Macaca fascicularis: one gene and its partner. Each later gene encodes a partner of the first gene's protein in a complex. Links are inferred from orthologs where the notes say so. Each region holds a gene or a part of one and is shown in the gene's direction. Other genes may lie near its edges.

What was found.
Region 2: the proteins of MUS81 (region 1) and EME2 are in contact, whole or in part, in a crystal structure (PDB 7F6L), measured with the Homo sapiens proteins. The link is inferred for Macaca fascicularis from reciprocal best matches to the Homo sapiens genes MUS81 and EME2. Residues at the interface, in NP_079404.3 of Homo sapiens: His330, Glu351, Phe354, Lys357, Arg358, Arg363, Val365, Glu381, Leu385, Gln386, Thr389, Asn390, Gln392, Val393, Ile394, Phe398, Lys400, Arg401, Tyr411, Leu414, Leu415, Arg417, Gly418, Leu419, Arg421, Leu422, Pro447, Ile464, Lys467, Ala468; in NP_001244299.1 of Homo sapiens: Glu140, Arg177, His179, Glu220, Glu221, Val224, Leu225, Gln227, Leu228, Trp229, Asn231, Leu232, Asp233, Leu235, Arg245, His246, Ala249, Val250, Lys252, Ala253, Leu254, Gln256, Tyr257, Lys260, Gln261, Glu264, Gln266, Phe268, Phe270, Cys271.

Annotation. Positions count from the first base shown.
Region 1 is NC_088388.1:8,540,291-8,544,977, reverse strand, and holds the start of MUS81 (crossover junction endonuclease MUS81), read left to right. Parts: upstream 1-1,466; 5' UTR 1,467-1,669; coding exon 1,670-1,804; intron 1,805-1,888; coding exon 1,889-2,018; exon of another isoform or gene 2,019-2,037; intron 2,038-2,196; exon of another isoform or gene 2,197-2,266; coding exon 2,267-2,352; intron 2,353-2,911; coding exon 2,912-3,010; intron 3,011-3,162; coding exon 3,163-3,231; intron 3,232-3,395; coding exon 3,396-3,481; intron 3,482-4,010; coding exon 4,011-4,151; intron 4,152-4,355; coding exon 4,356-4,448; intron 4,449-4,545; coding exon 4,546-4,667; intron 4,668-4,687. UniProt on the Homo sapiens protein: Catalytic subunit of two functionally distinct, structure-specific, heterodimeric DNA endonucleases MUS81-EME1 and MUS81-EME2 that are involved in the maintenance of genome stability.
Region 2 is NC_088394.1:2,537,066-2,541,836, forward strand, and holds the start of EME2 (probable crossover junction endonuclease EME2), read left to right. Parts: upstream 1-1,661; 5' UTR 1,662-1,682; coding exon 1,683-1,929; intron 1,930-2,007; exon of another isoform or gene 2,008-2,159; coding exon 2,160-2,296; intron 2,297-2,669; coding exon 2,670-2,762; intron 2,763-3,173; exon of another isoform or gene 3,174-3,208; coding exon of another isoform or gene 3,209-3,322; intron 3,323-3,447; coding exon 3,448-3,813; intron 3,814-3,971; coding exon 3,972-4,087; intron 4,088-4,218; coding exon 4,219-4,408; intron 4,409-4,489; coding exon 4,490-4,660; 3' UTR 4,661-4,771. Other genes in the region: MRPS34 (small ribosomal subunit protein mS34), read right to left, coding at 662-954, 1,059-1,101, 1,254-1,574. UniProt on the Homo sapiens protein: Non-catalytic subunit of the structure-specific, heterodimeric DNA endonuclease MUS81-EME2 which is involved in the maintenance of genome stability. In the complex, EME2 is required for DNA cleavage, participating in DNA recognition and bending.

The DNA of each region.
Region 1 (4,687 bases):
GATCACAGCCTCACACTCTGCAGGAAGAGAAGACTGGGTCGCAAACAAGCCAGAGGCAAACCCAGAAAGGGAACTGGGGACTCTAATCCTATAAACGGAATTAAGGGTGTAAACGGAGAGCGATGCCAGGGAGTGGAGTACCTTGCAGAGCATGCCGGGGGTTGTAGTCGGGGACATTCCACTGCACCGCCCCCGCCTGGGCTCCCGGCGCTCCAGGTGGAGACAGCAGCTTGACCCCCGCCTCCCGCGAGCGGCCCTGCATGAAGACGCTAGCGCCCCCTTTTCCGAGCCTTAGAGTTTCCAAGAGCAACGGGGAGAGGGAGGGGGCTTCGCAGTTACCCTGGAGACGCGCTCCCGCCCGCCCCCAGCCGCGGGATGCCCTAAATGTCCTTATTAGGACATGAGACTCGAGGGGGCGGGGTCAGCCCGACCGCCGGCTTCAGGCTCCTTATAAGGCCGCGGCGGGCAGGAGGCGGGAGCCGGAGCCCATTGGTCCAATTTAGCCCGGGTGGGGCTACTGCGCCGTGGGCTAGGCACAGTCCTGAGGGGCGGGCCTGGAGCTCCGGCGCCCACCTCTCCCTTCCTCACAGCCTGGAGACCTGCGTCTCACGACTTCCGGTATAGCAGCTAGATGCCGGGTGCTGCTTCGAACCCTGGCGGGTCGCCTGTGTCCAACTCAGTTATACATGTCCTTGAGGCTTCTCAGGTTGAAACCCTTTGTAGGGTTTCCATCTTCAACCTCCCTGGGGGTCTCCCACTTCCGATTAGCCACAAAAATGACGAACTGTTCTCCCCTCTACCTGTGTCTGGGCTTCTTAACCCGCAGCCTGCTCCTCCGCCCCGGAACCCAACCACGTGCCCATCTCAGGCCTCCCCAACTGCCAGGGTGCCCAAGCACCTCTTACTTACAGTCCTCCTTCCTCTAGGCCTCTGACCCCCGACCTTCCGAGTCCTATTTTAGGCCTTCTCTGCACGTCCCCGACTTCCTTTCCACCATACACCCTGTATCCCGGGGATGAGGATGACCATTTCCTCCAAGGATCCTGCAGCTCCTCCTGCCTTACCTTTGTGTCCTCATCCCCAGCACCCATTTCTGGGTGTCCTTCCCACCAATACGTTTGCACCCGTTTGTCTCCCAGCCCTCGCCTCTCCTGGACTCTTTTCAAGACCAGTCTCCATCTCCAGCCTCCTTCAAGCTTGAGGCTGAAACTGGCAATCTTAAGAGACTTAGAGTGGCCAAGTTCAGGTTAGTCCGTTAAGCGCCGCCCAACCAGTCCTCCCCGTCACAGGGGGCGCTGTCCGCCTTCCTCTCGCCTACACAAAGATGACCCCGCTCTCGAATCTGGGGTGACAGGAAGGAGTCGGTCCAGGCTCCGGGGGCTGGGATTGGGCGCGTCCCGAAGGCTAGCTGGAGTGGTGCCGAGGGGAAAGATCGTTTAAGAGACAGCGCCCCTCACCAACCACTTAGAGCAGCGCAGGGGCGGGAGGGCGGCAGGCTCTCCTCTCGTTAGTGCCCCGTGTGTTTGGGGCCCTGTGATCTCAGCGGTCCTGCCCTCGGCCTCCCTCTTCTCCCGCCCCGCCCCGGGCCAGGTGTTCGAATCCCTACTCCAGAACTGGCGGCGTCCCAGTCCCGCGGGCGTGGGGCGCCGGAGGACCCGCCCTCGGGTTCATGGCGGCCCCGGTCCGCCTGGGCCGGAAGCGCCCGCTGCCTGCCTGTCCCAATCCGCTCTTCGTTCGCTGGCTGACCGAGTGGCGGGACGAGGCGACCCGCAGCGGGCGCCGCACACGCTTCGTGTTTCAGAAGGTGGGTCCTGGCGTGGCCCGATGGGAAAAGCTGCTGGCCAGGTCGGGCCTGCCCTGACCAGGAACCCTACCCCTGCCCGGCCAGGCGCTGCGGTCCCTCCGACGGTACCCACTGCCGCTGCGCAGCGGGAAGGAAGCTAAGATCCTACAGCACTTCGGAGACGGGCTCTGCCGGATGCTGGACGAGCGGCTGCAGCGGCACCGAACATCGGGCGGTGAGCGTCTGGGAAAAGGGTCAGTGCTCCCCTGCCTCCCCCCAGGTGCAGCTTCCGTACTCACCTGGAGGCCCTTAGCTTTAAGCTCCCCACTCCTGTCCAAGTTGCCGTTCGGCCTCGGGCTAGTGGCTGGCGCTCCCTGAGCCTCCCTCACCGGTTTCACTTATCATCTGAGCAGGTTGCATCCCAGACCTTCGCAGCTGCCGGATTCCGTGGAGTGTGGAGTTGACTCTCTTCTGCTCCCGCAGGTGACCATGCCCCGGGCTCGCCATCTGGAGAGAACAGTCCAGCCCCCCAGGGGCGACCTGCGGAAGTCCAGGACTCTTCCATGCCAGTGAGGAAGGGGCAAGGGGAGCGGAAGGCAAAGTGGGAGTGCGGGAGTATGATTTTCTGGCTTGGGAGATTTGGCAAGCCTGAGTCCAAATCTCACCAGTGATTCCTGGCCTTGAGCAAATGACTTACCCTCTTTTTGACTTTTTGACTTACCCTCTTTTTGACCCTCTTTTTGACTTTTTGAATTAAATTCACATTTAATCTGTGAATAGGAATATTGGTAACAGCCAACAAGAGAATTCCATAATCAAGCTACTTAGGGAGCCCAGCTCAGTTAGTTACGGGGTCACCATTATTGAGTTTTCCTGTCTAATCACACGTGTTCTGCAGCGCGTGGTAGAACTGAGGCCAGGCTGGGCAGACACCCCCACCCGCTGCCCGGAAACTGCCTGCTGTCTCATCGCACATTTGCAGTGGGCCATCCCATCACCTGGCCCGTTTTACAGAGAAGGAAACTGAGAGATAACTGAGTGACTTACCCAGGGCCACAAAGCCTGCTGGGGACTTACTCGAAAATGACTGGCTGGCTTTCACGTTCAGAGCTCCTCTGTACCTTTCAGGTTCCTGCCCAGTCCAAAGCTGGAGGCTCTGGCAACTACTGGCCAGCTCGGCACTCAGGAGCCCGAGTGATACTGCTGATGCTCTACCGAGAGCACCTGGTGAGCACTGGGTGGAACCATGGCAGTGGGGTGGGAAGTTCCCAGAGGTGCCTAGCCCTGGCAAGGCAGGCAAAGATTATCCCAGCCACCTGAGCGAGATGAGGAGGGTCCCTGGCACTGAGCCTACCCTGTCTCTTCTACCTTGGTTTCAGAATCCTAATGGCTACCACTTCTTAACCAAGGAGGAGCTGCTGCAGAGGTGTGCTCAGAAGGCCCCCAGGGTGAGCACAGGGATTGGGGAAGACAGGCCCAAGTGGCTCTGGAGCCCACCAAAGACTGCCTTTTCTTGCAGTGGGCCCGTGTGTGGCCCGTGGCTGGGGACACAGGGAACATGGACTTGTGGTGGTACCAGGTGCTCTCTGACGGTCTCTTTTCTGATCCACAGGTAGCCCCTGGGAGTGCTCGACCCTGGCCAGCCCTCCGCTCCCTCCTCCACAGGAACCTGGTCCTCAGGACACACCAGCCAGCCAGGTGGGGCCAACTGCAGGAGATACAGGAAAGCACACATGAACTTCTTAGTGGGGCCTTAGAGTCACTCAACAACTCCCAGAGCTGATGCTGTTGAGGTTGGGGGCCTTTCCTCAGGAGCCCCCACTGTTGGAGTACCTGGAGGGTGTGAAACCGCAGATGCGGGGGTGGGAGGGTGCCGTGGTTATTGGAGGAGTAGAAAGACTTTTCAGAGGAGATAGCGTTTGACACGTTTTAGGATTTGGCAGGTAGAGATTCAGGATAAGTATTTCGAGGAGGAGGAAACAGCATTAGTGAAGATAGGAGGAAGGAAATCGTCTGAGACACACTTCTTGCAGACCTGAGAATGGAGCTGAGCAGGTCCAAGGAACTGCTCTAAGAGCCAAGAAGACCAGGAGCAGCAGGAGCCACTGGGGTCATTTGTGCAGGGCGCCAAGGGGGCGGTGAGGCCAGCCCAGCTAGGGGCAGGCAGGAGAGCCTGCCAGGAATGAGTGAAGAAGGGAGAGCTGTATTTTTCCCCTCTGCCTCCCAGGTACTCATTGACCCCAGAGGGCCTGGAGCTGGCCCAGAAGTTAGCCGAGTCAGAAGGCCTGAGCTTGCTGAATGTGGGCATCGGGCTTAAGGAGCCCCCTGGGGAGGAGGCAGCAGTGCCAGGAGCAGCTTCAGCAGAGCTGTGAGAAGGAGGGCGGAGGAGGGGGGAAAACAGGGAGGTGGGGATGGGAAATGAGGCCAAAACCCCACCTCTATCCATCACCTGTAGCTGAGCTGTGGCTGCCTCCCTACTGTAGGTGGGTGGTGGGTGTCGGGTGGCATGGGTGTGGGGCAACTGCCCTAGCACAAGGGGTTCTGGCCTCACATACCGATACCCCCCACTTAGTGCCAGTGAAGCAGGGGTCCAGCAGCCACCACTGGAGCTGAGGCCTGGAGAGTACAGGGTGCTGTTGTGTGTGGACATTGGCGAGACCCGGGGGTGAGTGAGGTGGGGAGAAATGAGGTAGATGATCGGAGGAGGCTGGGGGGTAGGCACTGCCCTGCCCTGATCTAGGATTCCCTCCTTGCCACTCCAGGGGCGGGCACAGGCCGGAGCTGCTCCGAGAGCTACAGCGGCTGCACGTGACCCACACAGTGCGCAAGCTGCACGTTGGGGATTTTGTATGGGTGGCGCAGGAAACCAATCCTAGAGACCCAGGTGAAGGGCCGTGGGCAGGC
Region 2 (4,771 bases), on another chromosome or scaffold:
TCCGCGGGGCGGGGCGGTGGCGCCCGGGGCGGGGCCTGCGCTTAAAGAGGCCTGGTCCCGGCGCGGCGGCCTCCGCGGACGCACTCAGGGAGGCTGCTTCACTTGCACCCCGGAACCCAGCAGCCGTGGGGGGCCAGAGGGCAGCTGCGGAGGCCAAGTCTCCTCCAGTGGCTCGGACACTAACTGTATCCCCCACAACCCGCCCAGGTGGTTCCACCCACGCGGCGCCCTGCTCCGCACCGCCCGAGCCCCCGCCCCCCGGCCAGGGCCAAGACCACAACATCAGCCCTTCTCTCCCCGGTCCTAAAGACAGCGCGCAGACACCGCAACCCGGGGTACTTCTTTTCTCTTTATTCCCTTTCATAGCTTCTGCCGGGATCCAGGCAAAGAGAGCACTAATGGGGGAAGGGGAGTTAGCGCTTCCCGCTTTCCCCAGCGTGAGCCTGCGGAGTTGGTGTGGGGGCAGCAGGGCCAGAGGAAAAACATAGGTGGCGATTTGCCCCAGCCCTCCCCACTAAAATGCAGATCCTCAGAAAACGTCGCGGAAGGTGACCTCCCAGCTCCGAGGGGCAGACTCGGGTGTAACGCGAAGACGGTTTCTTTCATCTACAAGATCCCTGCTGCCTCACAGCCCCTCAGGCCACCCTCTGGTTCTGGCATTCTAGACGGGGGTGCCCTTGGCCCTTCCTTTGTCCTCCTGTTTTGCAGGGTAGTCCCAGGGTTCCATGCGTGTCCTCTGCACATTCAGCATGGGCTCCTCGGTGCTAGTGTCTCCATTTTTCTGTCGTTCTGCGAGAATCATGGCCCGGAGGAGCGGCGGGTACGGCACGGAGGCCAGGCTGTCCTCCGGCGCCGGCGTGAACGCGGTGAAGGCCTCCTCCTCGTGCTTGGGCACCAGCCGCCAGTCATGGTACATGACGTGTTCCATCTCCCGCGCCTCGCTCTCCGTCTTCCCTGATGAAGGAAAAGAGGTGTGCTGCACACACATTTGCTGTGCCGTCGGTGGTCGGCATCGAACTGCCGCGCACCCGCTCTCCACCAGCTCTCCCGAGCCTTACCTTTGAAGGTCAGGATGCCCCAGGCCCTCCCGTGGTCCAAGTTCTGCAAAACCAGAGGGAAGCGAGGTCAGCTCGCAAGGCTCTCGGCCCCCGAGATCAGGAGGTGGGAGCCTCAGACACGCAAACCTGCAGGGAGGAGGGGAGGCGGGGAGACCAGGCGGCTGCAGGGGCGGGGTGCGGACGGGGTGCACGCACCTGCGCCGTGTAGTCGGGCTGCACCCGCGTGAGGCGCCAGTAGCACGGCTCATCGTGCTGCCACAGCCAGGACTTGCGCGTGACCAGGCGGCCCATGCCGAAGAGCGGGAGGCGGCCGAGCAGCTGGAAGAGGCGGCTCTCGCGGCGCACGTCGGCCCAGGCCCGGACCGGCAGCCGGCGTCCAGAGAACGGCCGCGTCAGGGTCTCGTAGTCCACAGCGTACAGCTGTGAGTCGCGCGGCCTGTTTAGTTTCTCCCGCAGGGCGCGCACGCGGCGGGCCAGCTCCGCAATCAGCCGCGGACGCACCTTCTTCCGCGCCATGGCGGACCCGCGTCCTCAGCGCTGCGGCCGGAAGCCGCCGGAAGAGGCCGGTGTCCCAGGCTAAAGTGTTCGGGCGCGGCCGGAAGCGAAAAAGAAGTCGGTCCGGCCATGGCGCGGGTTGGACCCGGGAGGGCGGGGGTCTCTCGCCAGGGCGGCGGCCGGGGACGGGGCGGGAGCGGTCAGCGGCGACCTCCAACCTGGGAGATCTCAGACTCCGACGCTGAGGGCCCCTCCGGCTCGGAGGCCGCCCCGAGAGCCCGGGACCCAGCAGGGGAGCGCAGGGCGGCTGCCGAGGAGTTGCGGCTGCTACGGCCGGAGCAGGTCCTGAAGCGCCTGGCGGTGTGCGTGGACCCAGGTGCGGCGGAGGGCACGGGCGACGCTCGGGGCAGGAAAGGCCTTTCTCCGCCAGGCGGCGCCCTCCGTCCGACGGGGCGGGGCGCGCGCGCCGAGGGTCCTGGGGCCGGGCGCGCTTCCCAGTCGGGGGTTTGTGCCGAATGCAAGCTGCCGGGTCCGCGCCCCCGCCCAGGTAGGGCGCTCGCGAGGGTGGAGGGAAGCAGTGACCGCGCTCCTCTCCCCTGGTCCCAGCCATCCTGGAAGACGCTGGTGCCGACGTCCTGATGGAGGCCCTGGAGGCCCTGGGCTGCGAGTGCCGCATCGAGCCCCAGCGCCCGGCCCGCAGCCTGCGGTGGACCCGAGCGAGTCCCGACCCCTGCCCCCGCAGCGTGAGTGCTCGCGGGTTCCCGAGGGCCAGCCCCGAGTTGGCTGTTTTGCTTCCATGATTTCAGTCCTGGAGCTGTCCCTGGGCGGTGCGCGTCTCGCGGATGGTAAACCACGGATGGAGAACGGAAAGTGGGGGTGCCCAAGCCGTTCTGCTGGTAAAGAGCCGAGCTGGCTGGATAAGGTTCCGGCCGGAGTCAGGCTGTGGTCAGGATTCCTGCCGGCCCCAGAGACCTGACCTGGGCTTCTGTAGAGCAGTCCTGTCAGGACCTGGGCTTGGCTGGGGCCACGGACCGCGTTGCTGCTAGACTGCCCAGGCAGGGCCCCTGGGGCACCCGGGGTTGAGACAGGCAGCAGCGCGTCTCCATGTCCCCACAGCTGCCTTCTGAAGTGTGGACTGCAGATGAACAGGAATTCCTGCTGCTGCTGGACCCCGAGGAGTTTCTGCAGGGCGTCGCCACACTGACCCAGGTGCTCGGGTGGTGGCAGTAGTCCGTCTCCAGTTAGGACGGGTGGGTTCCCAGCCGGGAGGCGCCTGCGCTGCCGGTCCCTGCCCTTGTAGACGGGGCTGGAGGGGGCATGGGGCAGGCCAGGATTCCTCTCTGATCCGAAACCGTAGAGGTTTCTAGGGTGAGATGGAGAAAGGTCCTCCTGTGGAGGCTACAGCTGCTCCTAGAGGGTCCTGAGAAGTGCCAGGAGGCCGGGGTCTGGGCAGTAGGCTGCAGGCGGGCTGTGTTCGTCCTCTGACAGCGGACAGCCCGGCCCCTGCCTGCAAGGAGCAGTGCTCAGGTGCTGTTGCACCAGGCAGCGTGGGGTTAGGCCAGACCCTTGCCAGGTCCCTGTGTCCAAGGATGAGTCTCTCAAGGCCCTGCTTTGTGCTAGGTTAAAGCTAGGCTGGAATACAGAGGTGGACCGGGATGAGGGGCTCAGTGGAACTGAGATGTGCCCAGGCAGCCACTCCAGGGGTCTCCTTAGCCGCCTTGGCATCGTGGGAGGCACAGAGCTGGTTTTCTCGAAGGGTAACAGAACAGGCTCGTCTGGGCACCCCTGGCTCTTTCTCAGGGTTGCTGTTCTGCAAACCAGCTGTGGCCTGGTGGCCCATGACCCTGAGCCGCAGCCTCCTGTGAACAACTGTGCCACACGTTCTCATCTTCAGATCTCTGGCCCGACTCGCTGGGTGCCCTGGATCTCCCCTGAGACCACCGCGCGGTCCCACCTGGCTGTCATCGGGCTGGATGCCTACCTGTGGTACCACTCACTCATGCCCACAGCAGGAGTGGCTGGGATGGGGGTTCAGGGGAGGTGGGCACACTTCTGGGGTTGCTGTGGCATAGCTGATCCCACTTCCCCTGGTGGGCTCTGGCAGAGGCCACGCTCGGGCAGGGCAGGCCCCATGGGGAACAGGGAGGAATGGTCACCTCTGTTCAGGTCTCGCCAGCACGTTGCCCCGGGGACACAGCAGCCGGAAAGCCCGAAGGTGGCCGGTGCCGAGGTGGCCATCGGCTGGCCGCAGGTGGAAGAGGTGAGGGCCTGTCTGAGCTGGGTGAGTCAGGTGGCCTGGGTCCCGGTGATTGGGCTGCTGGCTGGGTTTGGTTCCCAGCGTGGCACATGGCGCAGCTATCAGCTGTGTCCCAGGGAGCCTTCCTCTGGCTCGTGCCCACCAGCTTGCCTCCTCCCCAGGCCCTGGTGCTCCTGCAGCTCTGGGCAAACCTGGACGTGCTACTGGTGGCCTCGTGGCAGGAGCTGAGTCAGCACGTGTGCGCCATCACCAAGGCTCTCGCCCAGTGTCCCCTCAAGTGCGTGACACCTGGACTGAAGGGGGCAGGGGGCAGGATCACCTCAAGGTGGTGGCAGTGCCTCCCCGGCCTATGGGGAGCTGCTCAGCTGAGGTTCTAAAAGGCTTCTCCCTGTCCTTCCCTGTCCCCAGGCAGTACCGGGAATCCCAGGCCTTTTCCTTCTGCACAGCAGGGCGCTGGGCAGCCGGCGAGCCGGTGGCAAGAGACGGCACAGGGCTGCGGGGGGCCTGGCGGAGGCAGATCAGGCAGTTTAGTCGAGTCAGCCCAGCCGTGGCCGATGCGGTGGTCACAGCCTTCCCCTCCCCTCGCCTTCTGCAGCAGGTGGGCCCCTCCCTCCTCGAACCCCTCCAGGTGCAGAGGCCCAGTCCCCAGGCACCCTCTCATACCTCCGCCTGCCCCTAGGCGCTCGAGGCCTGCAGCACGGAGCAGGAGCGCATGGGCCTCCTGGCTGACCTCCCCGTGCTGCCCAGTGAAGGCGGGCGTCCCCGCAGGGTGGGGCCTGACCTCTCCCGCCGCATCTGCCTCTTCCTGACCACGGCCAACCCCGACCTCCTGCTGGACCTGGGCTCCTGACCACACATGGGACCACCAGGACAGCATGCAGCCTTGGGGACAGACCAGATACCCTGGCGCAGTGGGGGAGGACCCCAGCCATACGTGGGTTGGGTTCTCAGCCTCTGGCTG